Linked DNA regions of Canis lupus familiaris. The protein of the gene in region 5 purifies or fractionates together with the protein of the main gene of each other region. This does not show direct contact. Links are inferred from orthologs where the notes say so. Each region holds a gene or a part of one and is shown on either strand. Other genes may lie near its edges. The genes, in order: TOP3A, RFWD3, RFC1, SMARCAL1 and RPA3.

What was found.
Region 1: the proteins of RPA3 (region 5) and TOP3A purify together in Homo sapiens (affinity purification with mass spectrometry; 3 studies listed by BioGRID and IntAct, with this or other methods). This does not show direct contact. The link is inferred for Canis lupus familiaris from reciprocal best matches to the Homo sapiens genes RPA3 and TOP3A.
Region 2: the proteins of RPA3 (region 5) and RFWD3 purify together in Homo sapiens (affinity purification with mass spectrometry; 5 studies listed by BioGRID and IntAct, with this or other methods). This does not show direct contact. The link is inferred for Canis lupus familiaris from reciprocal best matches to the Homo sapiens genes RPA3 and RFWD3.
Region 3: the proteins of RPA3 (region 5) and RFC1 purify together in Homo sapiens (affinity purification with mass spectrometry; 3 studies listed by BioGRID and IntAct, with this or other methods). This does not show direct contact. The link is inferred for Canis lupus familiaris from reciprocal best matches to the Homo sapiens genes RPA3 and RFC1.
Region 4: the proteins of RPA3 (region 5) and SMARCAL1 purify together in Homo sapiens (affinity purification with mass spectrometry; 3 studies listed by BioGRID and IntAct, with this or other methods). This does not show direct contact. The link is inferred for Canis lupus familiaris from reciprocal best matches to the Homo sapiens genes RPA3 and SMARCAL1.

The regions. Positions count from the first base shown.
Region 1 is NC_049226.1:41,483,009-41,486,524, forward strand, and holds part of TOP3A (DNA topoisomerase 3-alpha), read left to right. Parts: intron 1-25; coding exon 26-99; intron 100-922; coding exon 923-998; intron 999-1,969; coding exon 1,970-2,078; intron 2,079-3,262; coding exon 3,263-3,406; intron 3,407-3,516. UniProt on the Homo sapiens protein: Releases the supercoiling and torsional tension of DNA introduced during the DNA replication and transcription by transiently cleaving and rejoining one strand of the DNA duplex.
Region 2 is NC_049226.1:76,538,557-76,542,072, forward strand, and holds part of RFWD3 (E3 ubiquitin-protein ligase RFWD3), read left to right. Parts: intron 1-200; coding exon 201-723; intron 724-3,516. UniProt on the Homo sapiens protein: E3 ubiquitin-protein ligase required for the repair of DNA interstrand cross-links (ICL) in response to DNA damage. Plays a key role in RPA-mediated DNA damage signaling and repair.
Region 3 is NC_049224.1:73,701,071-73,704,586, reverse strand, and holds part of RFC1 (replication factor C subunit 1), read right to left. Parts: intron 3,177-3,516; coding exon 3,031-3,176; intron 1-3,030. UniProt on the Homo sapiens protein: Subunit of the replication factor C (RFC) complex which acts during elongation of primed DNA templates by DNA polymerases delta and epsilon, and is necessary for ATP-dependent loading of proliferating cell nuclear antigen (PCNA) onto primed DNA.
Region 4 is NC_049258.1:23,296,295-23,299,810, reverse strand, and holds part of SMARCAL1 (SWI/SNF-related matrix-associated actin-dependent regulator of chromatin subfamily A-like protein 1), read right to left. Parts: intron 3,101-3,516; coding exon 2,918-3,100; intron 1,783-2,917; coding exon 1,682-1,782; intron 729-1,681; coding exon 632-728; intron 1-631. UniProt on the Homo sapiens protein: ATP-dependent annealing helicase that binds selectively to fork DNA relative to ssDNA or dsDNA and catalyzes the rewinding of the stably unwound DNA. Rewinds single-stranded DNA bubbles that are stably bound by replication protein A (RPA).
Region 5 is NC_049235.1:23,189,032-23,193,042, forward strand, and holds the start of RPA3 (replication protein A 14 kDa subunit), read right to left. Parts: upstream 2,805-4,011; 5' UTR 2,634-2,804; coding exon 2,535-2,633; intron 1,159-2,534; coding exon 1,084-1,158; intron 104-1,083; coding exon 1-103. UniProt on the Homo sapiens protein: As part of the heterotrimeric replication protein A complex (RPA/RP-A), binds and stabilizes single-stranded DNA intermediates that form during DNA replication or upon DNA stress.

The DNA.
Region 1 (3,516 bases), on a different chromosome or scaffold from region 5:
TAACTCGAATTTTGTTATCATTCAGAATGTTACCATGGTAATGACTTCAGTTTCTGGACATTTGCTGGCTCACGATTTCCAGATGCAGTTTCGCAAATGGTCAGTACAGTTCCTAGGGGATATTACAGTAAGTTGTGAAATGCTAGAGGAATTTTGAGGCCTGTTGATCTTACCGTAGAGCTTAACAATACTGATGACTGTCTTGGTCCATTTGGGCTGCTCTAATAAAATGTCATCAAGTTGAGGGACACTTATAAACAACAGAAATTTATTTCTCGCAGTTCTGGATGCTAAAAGTAGGAGAGCAGGGTTGCCAGCACAGTCAAGTGAGGGGCCCTCTTCCCCATTGCACCCTGCTGACCTTTCACCGTGTCCTCATCTGGTAGAAGGAGCTAGGGAGCTCTGTGGGGCTTCTTTTATAAGAGCGCTAATCCCATTCATGAGGTACCACTACCTTTATGACATAATCACCTCTGAGAGTCCCCACCTTCCAACAGCATCACATTGGTGTTAGAATCTCAACCTATGTATTTTGAGGGAACAAAAACCATGGAGCCCACAGCAGTGACCTAAGATCAACTGAACCATTGTGAATTTTTGCCATACATTTAGAATAAACCACCTTGAAGTGTATTTCCCTTAAAATAGCCAGACCTATTTTACGTAGTCACTGGATTAACTGATCCTATTGCAGACATTAATGAAAGAGTTCCAGAATTACTATTTAGCTCCTCCAGTTGTCATAGAAAGCACTTAGTGCAGAGGATCATAGCCTTGCTTTTAATCCTCTGGCCTTTTAATGTGGGACCTTTTCTGTTTGGGTTCCATCCATGAGCACACTGGAGCAATTTTTTCTCATTAAAATAGAGGACTTGTCATCTCTGCTGAGGTTGGATGTGTTGTGTTTTCATTTCTTTTCTAGGCAGAGCTGCAATCCCCTTGTCCTCTTTGAAGCAGAAATTGAAAAGTACTGCCCAGAGAATTTTGTAGGCATCAAGGTAGGGTGTTTTGGAAGATGTGTGGCACTGGAGTTGAACAGTTCCTGAGTACAAAATAATTGAACTATGATTTCTGCATTCTGAATGCATTAGAATTTAGAGATCCAGTTTCCCACCAAACTTAGTACCATGATTTTATTTTTTAACATACTTTTTAAAGATTTTATTTATTTATTTGAGAGAGAGAGAAAAAGAGAATGTGAGTGGGGAAGGGGCAGAGGGACAGAGAGAATCCCTAGCAGACTCCCTACTGAGTGTGGAGCCTGGCTTGGGCTGAGATCACAACCCGAGCCGAAACCAGGAGTCAGACACTTAACCGACTGAGTCACCCAGACATCCCAGTAACATTTTAAAAATTACTCCCACTCATATAAATGAGGCCACTTAAACTAAGTAGCCAAGGAACTAAAGTAAGCCTTTTTATATATACTACTTGTTTAAATCCTAGGAATAGTATTGTTAAATTATTAATTCTAGGCTCCAGCCCTAATTAGCACAGAGAGATGACAAAGTGTAAAGGGTCATTTGACAGCAAGTTATGAGTTCTTAAGCAGTCAGGGCACGTATAATTAGTTCACTGCTAATTGGGAAACCTTCTTGGGGGTAAAACTCAATTTAGGGATTTCTTTTTCTTTTTCCTTTTCTCCCCCCCCCCTTTTTTTTTTTTACCAGGATACCATCAGAGCCATGAGAGTTACAAGTATATGTTAGAACTGAATTTTAGGTTTTGTCATACTAGGGTAGTTGTATTAAAGCCTCAATCTAGAAGCTCACTTATGGGTCTTTGATTCTAGGTCGAAGGATTATACTAGTGGCCTTGGCATCCTTAGAGGTTCCCCCAGATCTCTCCCTTCTCTCCAATTTGCCACATTCCAAGAACGTCCCTAAGGTTCAGTCAGATCTCTTTAGCGTAGAAGTGTCAAGTGATAGTGATTGTGTTCTCACTGCCCTTTCCCCACTGGGAATTTTAGAAAACTCTGCAGCGAGAGACTCAGCAATGCCAGGCCCTGGTGATCTGGACCGACTGTGACAGAGAAGGTGAAAATATCGGGTTTGAAATTATCCACGTATGCAGGGCTGGTAAGTGCTGTGACTTTTGAGTTTCTCCACTTTGGAACCACAGAGGTAGATGATTCCCCTGAGAGAGTGGGCTGTGGCTTAGTTTTTCCCTGGAGAGTCTCCCCTCTGGATCCATTCGTTCTTACCAGCTCTGTGTCTTTGGAGCCCCAGCTTTCAGGAAAGTCAGGCCAATCTGACAGTTGTTAGGGCTGCATCAGGACTAAATGAGTTAACCAGTGGCTCAGACCCTGTAGCCCATGGCTTGTTACATATTAGGTCCAAGTACATGGCCAGCTCCTTGAGAGCAAAGACTTTATGTATTTTATTCCTTTATTTATTTATTTTTTTAAAGATTTTATTTATTTATTCATAGGGATGCAGAGAGAGAGTGAGAGAGAGAGGCAGAGACACAGGCAGAGGGAGAAGCAGGCTCCATGCAGGGAGCCTGATGTGGGACTTGATCCAGGGTCTCCAGGATCACGCCCTGGGCTGCAGGCGGCACTAAACCACTGCGCCACCGAGGCTGCCCCTATTGTATTCCTTTAAAGTTACATTTTGAACACGTGCAAGAGAACATATATGCCGATTATACAGAACAAAGAATCATTCTGGAATGAGGTATTAATTTGCTGTATTCTTTGTACAAAGCCTGTTGTTGAAACCAATTTAAATGCCTCGAACAAGGCCAATGATTTCAGGTAACTTCAAGGAAGTGATGCACAGTCCATTCTCAGGCTTCAGATAGTGGATGGTTTCTATTTTCCCTAAATGTGTTTGTGCTGAAACTGTAATGACTCCTGGGAATTTAAGTATGTTAACTTTCAAGAAAGCGTAGGTGTCCCATGTTATTTCTTTGTCAGGATGTGAAATTCCTCCTTTGGACCTTTTCATTGACAATGTTTTAATTTTATCTAAAAGTCTGGGAGAGCAAGTGAGATATTAGGATCTTTTTTTTTTCTTTTTTTTTTTTTTTCTTTTTCTTTTTCTTTTTTTGAGATATTAGGATCTTGAGAGGCTCACCAAGAGAATAGCTGAAATTCACTTGAATTGCTAAAACTCACACTGCTGTTATTTCTGACAACACTAAGTTTAGCGGTAATAATGACGTTTTCCCATTAGGTGGTTACCATGCTGTCAGTTTAACCTAATCAGAAAATTGGGTGCAGCAATGTGGTTTGACTTTAACCTTGGTGACTGTTCCACAGTGAAGCCAAACCTGCAGGTGCTGAGAGCCCGTTTCTCTGAGATCACCCCCCGAGCTGTCCGGGTGGCCTGTGAAAACCTGACTGAGCCCGATCAGAGAGTGAGCGATGCCGTGGATGTGAGGCAGGAGTTGGACCTGAGGATTGGTGAGCAGCTGGCCAACTCCTTGTGGGGGTCCATGTAGCAGAGTGGATGTTGGGCTATGGCACCAAGATTTTTGTGTAAGTATGTGCAGGTAACTTTGATCTTACGATCC
Region 2 (3,516 bases), on a different chromosome or scaffold from region 5:
GGGAGCCTGATGCGGGACTTGATCCCAGGATCTTGGATCACGCCCTGAGTCGAAGGCAGATGCTCAACCACTGAGCCATCCAGACGTCCCAAGAATGATCTTAAGCAGAAGTTCTAGAAGACTTAGATATAATTATATCATGGACATATAGCATGTTTTATCTATTTTACTGATACTTTTTATGAATGTTACTTCCCCAGTGATGGCTCACGAAGCAATGGAATATAACCTTCATGGGCAGTTAGACCATCATGTTGCAGAACAGCCTGTTCCTGCTGAAGTGGTCATCAGCCTAGAGGGACCACCCGTGTTCCAGGCTCTACCTGCAGAAGTGGTCATCAGCCAAGAGGGACCACCCGTGCTCCAGGCTCTACCTGCAGAAGTGGTCAGCAGCCAAGAGGGACCACCCCTGCCCCAGCCTGCTCCACACGTGTCTGTTGGCCTGACAGAGGAAGGGGAGCTGTTGGGAGAAGATCGTGTGGAGAGCATTAATCCAGGAGCTTCGGAGGAGCATAGTCAGCGATCTCGTGTTAACCCCCCTGTCCAAGTGTCTTCATTGGATTCGATGAACAGCTTCATCAGTGGGCTGCAGAGACTTCATGGCATGCTGGAATTCCTGAGACCTCCATCAGACCACAACGTGGGACCAGTGAGATCCAGAAGGATGAGAGGATCTTCACGCAGGTCAAGAACTACAGGGTCACAGAGGACAGACAGTACCAGGTAAAAATAATGTTAAAAATCTTGGGATTCGGGATCCCTGGGTGGCTCAGCGGTTTGGCGCCTGCCTTTGGCCCGGGGCGCGATCCTGGAGTCTCGGGATTGAGTCCCGTGTCGGGCTCCCAGCATGGAGCCTGCTTCTCCTTCCTCCTGTGTCTCTGCACACACCCCCCCCCCTCCACCCCAGGTGTCTTATCATAAGTAAATAAATAAATCTTTAAAAAAAAATCTTGGGATTCGTGCCAGATTGGGACTATGAGCCCAGTGCTGCCAAGGTGTGGCACTATGACTTTTGGCAAGTTATATGGCCTTTCTGAACTCCCAATTCCTCACAAGTCAGGTGAAAATAAAAGGTGCTTGCCTTATTTACTCACAAAGTCATTGAGGGATAATTTACCCTGATGTGCTTTGAAAACTAGGTGGTAGTTTATCAGCAACGGTTTCTATAGGGGCTGGCACTTCTTCAGATCATTTGCATATGAAAAAAGTATATTTTGACTTAAAAGTCCACACTCCAGTTACCCAGGTTCCATTGTTCATTGGCATTCCTTGTAACGATGCAGTAGACTTTGGTGCAGTAGACTTTGGAAGACCGGCAGGCTGGACTTAGAGAAGCCTTGTGAAAAGTAAAATGTGAATTAATTTAGGGCTTATCTGACTAAGTGGGGAAACATTCCAGCCCTCCTCATCTCAGAAGGTGTTGCAGAGTTGAAAATAATTTTCTTTCATAGTTTTTCATTTGAACTTTTCTCTGAAAGAACTTAGCTATATCAAGTCTTGACATGGTTATTTTTATAACCACCAGCTATGCCTTGCCTGTTTTTTAACTTCATCCTGCTTTATTTAAAATACTTTATTTCACATTTGGCCTCCTAAATGTTTTCATAACGTTTTAAGAGATTTAACACCATGTTCATTTTATATGCAAAGGAAATTGGACCCTGAGAAAGCCTTTTGTTCAGGGTCAAGGTCGAGTTGATAAGGGAACCTGGATCTGACTCATTTTCTGTGCAGGCAGATAGAGGACACTTCAGTCACATCCATTTGTTTTCTTAACATTATGAAAATAATGAGACAATACTAAAAAGCAGTAACTAGGCCATCTATTGACTATGTCTTGGAAATAAGAAAGCCAATAGAATAATTTGTGTTCTGACTAGGGTAGCTCTGGAATTGGGATTGTGCCTTCTGATCCTCGATTCAGCATCCTTTTCCATGGATTCTGCTGATTGCTGAATGGAGGAGGGAGATGGTGCTGCTTTCCCTCTGGATCTAGTCTCTAGCCTGGTCAGTTCTGGATGTGACCTCTCAGGGATGATGTGCTTAGTCATGTGTTGATAAGAGTTTCAAGGGCATGTAACTGTTATTTTAAGGCATCATTCCCTCTGATTATGAAGGCAGAATAAGATTTCATGTTTGTGTCCTAGGTCAAGGTACCCTGTAGCCGAGTTTGGGAACCCTTTCAAAGTGTGTGGGCTGAGGGTTGAGAGTGATGGCCCCAGGAACTGGCTGACTGCCAAGAGACCTCACCATATTCCTCAGCCTTGGTTGTTCATATACTCATCCATGGGGAGAGGGGAGTTGGGGCGGAGTTGATTACTTCTGTGGGAGACTTGGGAACCCACTCATAGGGGTGTAACACTTAAAAACCAGTTGCCAGTTTACAGAGAGAACTAGAAGTGCCACAGGGATCAAAGTCTCTTTCTGGCATGGGCAGCATGATTCTCCTAAAAGAAATTTCTGATTAGAGTCTAGTCTAGAAGCTAGACTCTAATCAGAAAATTGCTTGATGCATATAGAATCTGTGCTCAGGGACTGGTCTAGATTCTAAATCTAAATTACAGAATTTAGTTGTTAAAGGATATCAGTTGAGCTATTTGACTGACAGTTGTATTTGTCTCTACTAAAGGAATAAGCCTAAAGGGCTAGAGATTGTGTGGTTCAATGAAGAAAACATGGATTCTGGAGCCAGATAAATGTGGCCTTAAAACTTTTTTTCCCCTAAATACTGTGTTGTAAGCAAATTCCACACTAAATTCACAAAAAACAGGAGCTTTTCCTAGTACTGATTGCTTTTTTTTTTTTTTAAGATTTTATTTATTTATTCATGAGAGACACACACACACACACAGAGAGAGAGAGAGAGAGAGAGAGAGAGAGAGGCAGAGACACAGGCAGAGGGAGAAGCAGGCTCCATGCAGGGAGCCCGACACGGGACTCGATCCCAGGACTCCAGGATCATGCCCTGGGCCAAAGGCGGCGCTAAACCGCCCAGCCACCCAGTCATTCCACCTACTGAATTTCTTAACGTGAATTCTTCATTATGGTGTTTGGCACTTACTCACCTGACAGACCCTTTCTGGGTCAGGTGTTGAGAGCCTGAGCCAGGGGGAGCAGCTTTTGCCTCAGACTCCACTGAGAAGCCAAAGTTGGGGGAAGCTGAGTAATGAGATATTTTTCCAAACAGCTTCTCAGCCAAGATCACAAACACCTTTCCTGTTTCTTTGTTTGAGGCTGCTTGATTCTGGCTGTCAGCGTCACTCATTCATCAAAAATTTCTAATATTCCACTATGTGAGAGACTGAACTTTGCCTGGAGATATATTGTGAACAGGACAGATAAGGGTACCTGTTCTCATGGAGCTTATGGAATGTAGGACTACTGAGGGTAAGCAAGGGGCAAGAACTCATTATACTATTATTTAATTCAGAGATGATGAGTGCAGGCAAAGAGGAGGATCTCTTGTTGTGAAGGTTGCACTCCCAGAGAGAAAACCTAGCTCTGTCTCCTAATGAT
Region 3 (3,516 bases), on a different chromosome or scaffold from region 5:
CCCAATGTAAAAAAAAAAAAAAAAAAAAAAAAAAAAAATAATGCCCAGTGTAATGTCTACTATTTAAATCAGCTGGTAGAAAAAAAATAAAAATAAAAATAAATCAGCTGGTAGAGAAAGCCTAGCACTCACTACAACATCAGGATAATGGATACAGACCAGTGTGCTCAAAGGGAATGGATTTCCTACTTATCTGCATCAGTGAATGAAAAACACAAATGTAGGTTCTACTTCCAACCTACTCTCAAGGCCTGGGCAACAATAAGACTTCTATGTGCTCATACTCATTATAACCAAATATTACTCATTCCCAGTTCCAAATATTACAAGCATCGGGAAAAGGCAGTGAGATTTCCTACCTCAAGTACCAGTGCTACTTCCTACATGAGGGCTTGTAACACCATTTGATCTCTGATTATAACACGCAAAATTATATATGAATGTTTCCCTCATATTTCCTAATATGAGGTTACTCCGAAATCTTTAGTTCTAGAGCAAGGCTTTCCCCAAACTTAGAAAACTGCCGAAAATGTCCCTGCAGAATCACAAGGTGGTCCACACTTGTGAGAGGAAGGCTTCAGGAAAAAGTCTCGCATCTGCTGAGAACAATGCTATCATGAAATGACTTTCTCACTCACTCTTAAATATGGTCACTCAAAACTAGAACAAAATGCCACCAATCTAAACCTTTCCAATCCAGCTGCTTCCATCATCAAATGAGGAAACAAGAAACCTCAAAAGTTGCTGGGCTTCAGAGCCCATAAACATTTTTAAATTATTAATGGGCCCTGCTATTGCCTTTAGGTAACTGAATATGAAGAGTTCTCTTGATCAGAAATCTAGAACCCTGCTCCTGTCAAAGAATCCAAAAACTCGTATTTTAAATTCACCCGTTTCCTCTAGATTCAGTAGTCTTCCATAACCAAGCACTATTAGTGCTTAAAGACAAGCCCTAAGCCACAGTGCCTACAAAAATCATGAAACCTTTCTCAAAAGTATTCTCTCATATTTTGTTAATTACTGTTACCTTCTACTTAGAATCACAGAAAATACCTCTAGAAAAGTCTAAAGGTATCATCTAGTGTTCCTAAATCAAGGGTTCTTAACCTCAGAAATCTGTAATTCCTCTAGCATTATTTGTACTTTACTGCCTTTGGGATTAATAAAAATCAAAGAGCTTTCAGATTCTCAATGGCATCTATCACCCTAACTAGAACTAATACTAAAAGTACTATTTTGTACTTCCATTTTTAAAAATAAACTGAGATCTATAAAAGTTCAAGGACTTAGGGTTAAAAATTAAATAGGAAGGTCCTAATTTATTCTAAAAATTCTGAATTCATTATAGATGTCCTTTGATGATGATAATGTCCTGTATATGATTCATTAAGGAACATTCATGGAGCAATTTAATGTGCTGGATGAGTAGGCCTCAGTTCCTATCACCAGATATGTTCGGTCTAACAGGAAAAGGGGACAGACATACAAAAGCACAGCCACAAAACAAGATGGAAGTCCAATGCCAATGATCTATGAAAACGGTGGGGGCATCAAAGATGAATACCTACCACCAGGGCACAGGGATGCATCACCTTTTTTAAAAGCAGAGGGCAGGGAGTAGAAAAGAGCTTAGAGCCAGGCCTTGCACTTTGACCACGAGCAGTGGGGAAAGCAACCCCTTCCAGTTTATAGAGGCCATAGACATCCCTTGGCTCATGGTCTCTTTTCCCATCTTCAAAGCCAACAATGTAACATCTTAGAATCTCTTTCCCTCTCTGACTAGATACTGCTGTCTCTCTTTTATTTCTTTTTGGTAAAGATCCTTGTAATTACACTGTGCGCCCAGATAATCCAGGAGATTCTTTGCATCCTAAGACAGCAATAAATGTGTGTTATTTTAAACCATTAAGGGTTTTTTTTTTAAAGATTTTATTTATTTGACAGAGAGAGAGAGAGAAGAGAGCGTGGCAGACAGAAGAGAAGCAGGCTCCCTGCTGAGCAGGCAGCCCAATGTGGGGCTCCATCCCAGGAGCCCGGGATCATGACCTAAGCTGAAGGCAGACTCTTAACTGCCTGAGCCACACAGGTACCCCTAAACCATTAAATTCTTAGCAATTTGTTACAGCAACAATAGGAAACTAATACAAGAGTGGCAAAAAAAAGCGCCATGCTATAGGCTAGGAAGAGGGAACATAGTCAGAATTTTATAGGAACAGTAGAAAGGAAGCATTTCAGTTCAGCTTCAAACAGAAGTTAAGAGTGGACCAATGTTAACGAATATTCCCTCCAGAGATCAGAAAAAAAAAGAAGACTACTCAAGTAGTTCTTTGTGGTTAAAAATAAATTCCTAAAGTTCACTGAATATTTGGGTGTGTGCACATTTTCTAAGTTTTTCAACTTTAACAAAATTGTACCAAATAACAAGAATTTTTGGACTTCATTAAACTTCTCCAAACTTCTTGGTTTTTCAACTTTAACAAAATTGTACCAAATAACAAGAATTTTTGGACTCCATTAAACTTCTCCATTAAACACTGATTTTTCAATCATCTGCACATCTGCCTCCTGTTGTTATATGCTAAACTGTGTCCCCGATCATAAATGACTAGTTCAGTTTATTACTAGGATAGGTAAAAACTAGTTCATTTATTTAAATAGTCTTTCTTCCTATTAAATTATTTGGAAGCTGAGACATTATGTATCCCTACAAGTAATAGGTGTAGTCACAATAATAAATAGTAGCACTACCTCAGATTTACATAGCTTCAATATTTATCTTAAAATTATGGCACATCTACCAACTGTGCTCATCTTCAAAGTATCCTTTTAAATGATAAAACAAGTATTATACCTATTATAGATAATAAAACTCAGGCCCACAATATATAAGGAACTTATCCAGGGTCATTTATCTAGTTAGCAATAAAATCACAACTAAAACACAAATCTTTTAATTTACACTATCCTCACTGGATAAAAGCTAAATATGCTATACTGATAAAATGCCAGACATGAACTAATACCACTTACCTGAGACTCATGTGCAGTGCTAGATCCTGTACAATACGATCGTGTTTGCCGGTAGATGAGTGCTTCCCTAACCAGCTTGGGAAAGTAGGAAACTGGGTCATGTACCCCCTCATTAGCTCTCCAGGAAGAACACTGGCATAAATGGCCTTAAAAAAAAAAAAAAAATCAATTGCAGTCCACAATCTGAATTCAGTACCAAGCTGCTTCCTACACAGCTGTTGGCTTCTGAGTCGTTTCTGGCAAACGAAGCCACACTGTCCTAGGCACCTAATTCCAGGGCATCACACCCCTTCCCTCTGTCTCTCATCTGTTGGTAGGGGAAGCTACTCCCAGAGAAAACAACAGATAAGTCCAAAACACGTTATGGCCCTGAGAGAGATCTTGCTAACTAGGTCTCCGCACCAACTGACCCCAAGAAACTTGATGCACAAAGGATTTTAAGAGGAACATGACTGTCTTTAACATAAACTATTAACAGCACAGGTA
Region 4 (3,516 bases), on a different chromosome or scaffold from region 5:
GTTAAGAATCCCTTAAAATTAAGTCTCCTTCTTTTCAAAGGGCATACAATAACAAAGGCTCTGTGAAAATATTTACCATTCAATTGAATTAGAGTTCTTTAAAAAGCTTAAAAATAAGGTTGTTTCAAGTTAGCTTATTAACTGTTTATGAGGATAATTTATACTCTACATTTAAAAATATGATATTTGTGGTTTCTGGCTGAGCCAGAGGAGCATGCCAACTCTTGATCTGGGGGTCATGAGTTTAAGCCCCATGTTGGGTGTAGAGGTTACTTAAAATATGAATTAAAAAAAATAAAAATATGATCTCTAAGACTTATCTCGATCATTACATTTGAAAGGAAGCATTTAGTTATTACATCAATGTAAATGAAAGATCAAATCCTCAGACTCTCTAGTCTTCCTGTCACTCAAAGATATTGCTGATTTTACTCAGACTCTGATTTTGGGCAGTTCCATGAGAAGGAGAAGACACTTGGTTTTCAGAGGAGCTACCTGAAGGCCACCATTCTGCATGAGGCTGAGTGAAATCCCCAGGAGTGATCCACTTCTCTTTCAGGACCCAAGGGCTGAGGAGACAACTCAATAGCTCCCCCCACCCCAGTGGCAAGGAGCCATTTGCTGGTGTTACCTTGTAGAAGTAATTAGGAGCTTCTGTCATTTCTGAAAAATTGGTCTCAGAAAGTCCGGCTTCACCCAGAACTTTAATCTTCTCTTGAATTAGGGGCCTGTTGGGGAAAAAAGAGCTGCGATGAATACAAACTGCACAGAACCAGTGGGATGAAAAAGAGATCACCCTCCTTGTTTTTATGGGACTGAGGCATGCTGTTTCACTTCTTTGGAACGCTCAAGGTACAAACACCCAACCTAAAATATTTGTCTCTTCTGTAAACCAATTTAGCGTTTGCATCATTAGGTTCAAAATTCTTTCTACTGGAAGATGTGGAGAAAATAGATGTCTCATTACAACAAAATTCTGAACCTGGTGCTGAAAATGGCCCCGTGGTTATGAGCTGCCCAATGATCAAATCAACAAATCCAAAGATGTAGGAGTAGGGACAACCTACACATGTGACAAAGGTAAGATCCCTTAGTCACAAGGCTGGAAACAGAAATGAGTAGTAGAAACTAATGAGGTAATCAAGAAACTTAGTATTAGGAAAGGGGTAAGTATGACTAGGAAGGAGCATTTGGAGACTTTTTGCTTAGGTAACAGACATGAACCCCAGGGTTGAAAAATTTTACCCTAGTTCTAAGGAAGCCCCATGTGGCCCAGGGTGAGCCACTTCCTCCCAGTGGTCAGCTGCAGCACTGTATGATGGCCTTATTTTACCGATACGTGCCATGAAGGAGCAGAGGGCAGTATGACCATGTCTCAGCAGAGTCTTCATAGCTGGGACGGAGTGTCTTACAAGCAAACCTGCACATATACTTCTTCCCCCCTCCCTTGTCTCAGGACACTGGGAAAGGAGCCACATCCCCTTATCCCTCATGCACCCAGCAAGTCATGAGTGAATGCTGTGAAGGAGGCCCGACATGGTCATGGTGGAAGTGGGAGGGCATTACTCCTGGGTCTTCTGCATGGGTCCCTGAAGACATCAGCAAGAGCAGAAGCAGTTAGGGAGCGAAGGAAATACATCACAGGCGTCAACCCTTGCTTAACCCCAGTGGCCAGCCATACCAGAGGTAGTCATCAGCTGTGCCTTTCGCCACGAGGTAGTGGATGCTCACAGAGCTCGACTGTCCGATTCGGTGCACCCGGTCCTCAGCCTGAAGCAGCACCTGTGAGGTACAGGGATCAGGATGTGTGCAGGCCAAGGCCTGAAGGGGCTCAGTCCACCACAGCAGGCAGTCCCCTGCCCCCGAGCCCACCACACCCTTCTTCCGAAAGGACTTCACTCCATGACCCAAGTCAGCAGGCTGAGAACCTCTACCTTCAAGGAAGCTGTCACCTAACATAAGAGAGAATCAAACAAAACTAAAGTTCTGGGGTAATCTAGAATCTATAGCCAGACAGCTTTGGGCAGAGCCCTAGGTGCCACAAGGAACGAACAGCAAGCTCTGACCTGCCAGCAGGCTATGCTGAAGGGCAAATGAAGGAAGCCTGGCACATTTCCATTCTTCTTGCCATGTAAGAAACCATTACCTTGTAAATAAACAAACATATCACAACCAAGGGAGAGGCCCTATATGATTAGGGGTAGTGTGGCTCTTTAATACGGCGGTAAGCCCTACAATAGATAACAAAGCCCAAGAGCATTGTTTCCATCCCATATGCTTTCAGCCTAGAAGTCTACGTGCCCTATGTGTGGCCAGTGACATATATCTGCTATCACAGCTCTCTGCTCATCAGATGAGGCCAGTGGACACAAAGACCACGTTCAGGGAACACCCAGAAAGGTCGCCTGTCATGGCTGCATCGGCTAAGCAGCTTGCAATGATGGCTAATAGATGGCACAGGCTGGAAGCCCAGAGGCCTGGGCTGGGGTTGCTGTAGCCACAGGCTCCCCTTTGGGGACAGCTGTGCATGTGAGCTCTCTGTGCCCCAATTTCCCCTCAGAGGAAGGACTCCTAAGATTCCTTCCAGCCTTCTAAAACTTCAGTATTTCCTTCCATAACATGGAGTCGATACTCCTACTACTTAGGAGACTGCTGTGAAGATCTAATAACTAGCCAACAGATATGCAAGGCTTCACTTCTTTTAAGACTGGTAACTGGGGAAAAAAAAAAAAAAAAAGACTGGTAATTGGGAAGTATAAAACATGTTTCTGAGGCCTAACAGAAACAGATGGAAGAAAACAAAACTGGTGCTAGGGAGAGCACCCAGATACCTACTCTGCCCAGACTGACGCTCTTGCTCCTTCTGCCCCATAGCCACACGCACACCCGGGAGATTCGAGTCCCCTGTGTCCCTTACCCCTGGATTCCAAAAGAGCTCAGCAAACACCACCAGGTCAGCCGAGGTGAAGGTGAGGCCCATGTTGGCAGCGGTGATGGACAGCACGGCCACAGCGTGCTTCTCGAACAGCTGGAACTGCTGGCACAGGTCCTCTCGGTCCGCCGAGGAGGTGGAGCCGTCGATGTGGATGTGTGGCACGTGCTGCAGGGACAAGGACGGGAAGCGAGGTGGGCTGCACCAGTGCCTGGGGCTCGGCAGCCGCGGCTCCGAGGACAGAGCCACGCTGCTGTTCTAACTCAGATCACGGGTCTGTCACTGCTTTCACAGCTTCTTGTCTTTTTGTTTCACATTGAGTTTTGTGTTGATGGGATTGTAGATGCACATTAGTTGAAGCAAAAATACAGAGATTCCTTGAACATCTGGCCCACTTTCTCCCAGTGGTAATATTTTGTTAAACTATAGTAAATCACAACCAGGATGCTGACTTTGATACAACGTACTGATCTCATGCCCATGTCCTCAGTGTTACTTAAACTTGCATGTGTGTGTTCTACACAGTGTTATCACTGTGGGTTTCCACATTATCTCCTTCACAGTCAAGACACTGAACAGAGCTA
Region 5 (4,011 bases):
GATGGTTATCTTCTTTAAACTGGACATATGATGCACACATAATGGTTGCCTTGGCCGTTACTCTTCCAACTACTTCCACGATTCCAGAGATTTCTTCATCAAGCTAACACACAAAGAACAAATTGTCAACTTGGTGTTGTCACATTTTTGGTTGATAACTGGGAAAATTGTTACAATTTACTAATTTTTCATTTCATGTGACAAAAACATCTTAAAATTTATCAATGCAAAAACTGAACCGTAAGTTGTTAAAAATGTTTGAATACTTAATGTCAGCATGTCCAGTCCTATTACCTTTAGCAGTAGCTTCAGGTCCAAAGATCCAGTTAAGTGTTTAGTTGAAGACAAAATCACTTAAAGATAGTGAGAATGTCCACCATTTCTACAAGGAATAGTTTGTTTAAAAGAACCCATTGAAAGGAAACTTCTATTTTCTATCTCTGTATTCTGTATATGTTAATCAAGTAGCACATGGATTTGTCTTCATAAAAAAAAAAAGAAAAAATTTTTGAGTACAATAAATGTAAAATCTTAGAACAAGTGATAACTGAAGGTACATGTAAACAAAAATAAAAAATACAATTTTAAAAATGTAAAATTCTTGAGGAAGGATAAAAGGATTTAAACAAAAGATTTTTTTAAAGATTTTATTTATTTATTCATGAGAGACACACAGAGAGAGAGAGGCAGAGACACAGGCAGAGGGAGAAGCAGGCTCCATGCAGGGAGCCCAATGTGGGACTCGATCCCAGGTCTCCAGGATCATGCCCTGGGCCGAAGGCAGGCGCCAAACCAGTGAGCCACCCAGGGATCCCACAAAAGATTCTTTTAATGTGATTTTGTGGTCTTTCATAGGAATAGGAATTATCACCCAGTTAAGGGATGTATTAAAAAATCATGGAGCCCAAAGAATTACTGGTTAGAAATGTAAAGGGATATAAAATGTAAGAAGAGGAGCTAAGTTTAATTTTAGAGCAGAGAAGTTTTATAAGCTGGTCCTTTATCCATCTACTCCAAGAATCAGAAATATCAACAAGATACAGAATAAACTACAAGATACATAGAATTAATACTTAAACATACGGGCTCCATCAACTCAATGGTTCCATTTTTTCCTTCTCCATCAGAAAGAATAAACATTTTTCCAGTGGGATGAATCTAAAAGAGAAACACAGTATTAAAAAAAACCAACCACATAAACAAAACAAACTTTAAAAATCTCATTAAAATAAAAATATTAAAAGTTTGACAGAAGATAAGCAAATTGTCCCAAACATATTTAGTCAATGCATACAAATCAACTGTTTTTGAACAAAACCTGGGGCCCCTGGATGGCTCAGTGGTTGAGCCTCTGCCTTTGGCTCAGGTCCTGATCCTAGGGTCCTGGGATGGAGTCCCCCAGCAGGCTTCTCACAGGGAGCTGCTTCTCCTTCTGCCTGTGTCTCTGGCTCTTTCTTTGTGTCTCTCATGAATGAATGAATGAATGAATGAATAAATAAATAAATAAATCTGGCAACCCTGTGCTAACAACAAATTAAAGGGGATCCATCCTAACGGTGGGATCTTCCAGTATTCATGAGTTAAACAGTATGTATTACACCACAGGGTGTGTTTTAAAAATTACACCTGCGGGGGGTGGGGTGGGGGTGGTTCCTGCTTGGTTAGGTCCTAGAGCCTGGCAGTATTAACGTCAGGGTGGTGAGTTTGAGCTCTACCTTGAGGGTAAAGATTACTTAAAAAAAAAAAAATTAAGCATGATGAAGTAAAGAGAACTGGTTGTCAGAAGACTTGGGTTCTACTACAGATAGTTGTAAAGAGTGCGGTCAGATCTGGTTTGAAGCTGTGGCCTTAAGCAATTAACCATACACTACTCCTACCCAGTTTCCCCTACCTGCGGGGTCGAGCAACACCTATTTCAGGATCAAGGCTGGAATGAGCTGCTAAGAGTTTACCCTAGATCCCCCCCGCCCCGCCCCCCCCTCCCCCCCAAGCTTTCTCGGTTCACGGGTTCCCAAGCTTTGGGCCTGCCGGTCATCAGTCGGGTGAAGGTGCTGCACTCTAACACCGGCATAAGCAAACAGACTGCTGTGGGGTCTGGAAGGGACGATCGAAGAAAGTTCATGGCGAAGGGACTTGAACGAGAAAACGAAGTTTGAGGAAAGACAGAACTGCATGACGAGCAGAGCAGTTGAAACGTCTGGCTATCTAAGACACGGAGAGTCAGGTCTCTAGTTTTCTTCTCGTTATCTACAAAACAGGGGCCAGAGTGGAGGGCGCTAGGATTAGAACGCAGCGCTTTCGAAAACGTCACGACGCCGCGCCATAAAACTGGCGCCAAAATGGGGCTGCAGTGCCTAAAAAGAGCGCAAAAAGTCCCCTTGCGTCAAACGAAGCACCTAGGAGCGCAGCGATGCTCCACGGCCCGTCCTCCTGCACCCTCCCTTGCCACCCTCAGGCTGCCGCCCCGGCGGCCACGGGGCCCCCCTCGTCCCCCCGGTGCAAAGCAGGGAGCCCAGGGCAGCGACGGCGCGCACCTTTTCCAGCCTCCCCACGAAGCAGACCGGCTTGTCGATGAACTGAGCTAGCATGCTGGCATTGATGCGCGACTTGGGCAACTCCAGGATGTCCACCATGGCTGCGGCGCGAGCCCCGCGGCCGGCAGGAAACCGACGACCCAAGCGGCGCGCCCTGCGGCGACCAGGGGGCGCAGGACGCCGGCGCCAATCGGCGGGGGCCGGCACTCTCCCTCCACCAATCAAAGGCGCGGAAATTGCGATCGCGATCGCGTAGCCCCCGGAGCGGCCCCGGCAGGGAGGGCCGCTTCCGGAAGTGGGGATCGGCTGCCTAGCGACGCGCGGCGTCCCGGAAGTTGCCCGGGTCCTCCGCGGACTGGGCCGCGGAGGCGGGGCTTGGACGGGGCGGGTCGGCGGCTGCCGCCCGGCGAGATCCCGGAAGCAGGCTGTTGGGCTCCGGTGCGGTGGCGGCGGGGGACTGCGGCGCAGCCTCAGGTAGCTCTTCTCGCGGGACGCGCCGCAACCGCGCTGTTTCCCTTGCTCCCCGTCCGTCGACGGATGCGGAAGAGAGAGGCGGGACTCGGGTCCTGCCCTGCCGCGGCTTCTCGGTGCTGCGCACCGGCTCTTCGCGGTTCCCCGCCTCCCTCCCCGCTTCCCGGGTCTGCGTGGGGAGCGCGGGGTTCGTGCTGCAGTCGAGGGATCGGGCGTGTTTTGACACCGGCCCCTCCTGGGGACGGCAGGCGGGGTCGCCGGTGACCCGTCACTGCCTCTGTCGGGCTCCTGCCGCTCACCGGCAGAGGGTCTGTGACTTCACGGCTCAAGCTGCGTCACTTGCCCTTCTGTCCCTCACCTGTTAGGCAGAAGGGCTCACCTGATTATTTCTACGACCCTTTCTAGCCCTGACAGCCTGGCCGCCCTAAGGACGTGAGACCTCCTCCGAGTTAGCAACAAACTAGCTTTTGGGAATGGGTTGTGGTTGGGGGCGGGGGGCGGGGGGAGGATCACCGAGCTGGGAGAGGAGACGAATTTAAAGAATTGTTAGGTCCTGGACCGGTGAGCTCCTCCTTGAGATATGATTTCCCTATCAAAAAACGAAGGGGTTAGATAGCAAGATCGTTTTTGCAAAATCCCTGCGAAGTTTTTGCCCATGTGGTTCACGGACCCGTCCTAACTTCCCGGTGATGTTCCCCCCGTTGCTCCTCGCGCCCCAGGACTTGGAGGCCGGGAAGGTCACCTGTTTCAGGGACATTCGGGAGGAGGGGGGATTCTTGAATCTGTCGCTGGTTCATGTTTTTGTTTTTGTTTTTGTTTTGTAGGTTTGGGGACTTTTTTGCTGGGATTGGTACCGCCTTGCCAGGAATTTTCTAGAATGAACGCTCATTAAAAAATGGGGGGAAACCAACAACTTTTCATTTGGAAAATGAGTGTGGATTTTCCTAAATCCTCCAGGTTGTCACTATTCAAATTTAGGTACTAGACGGAGTCTCCCAGGATTCTC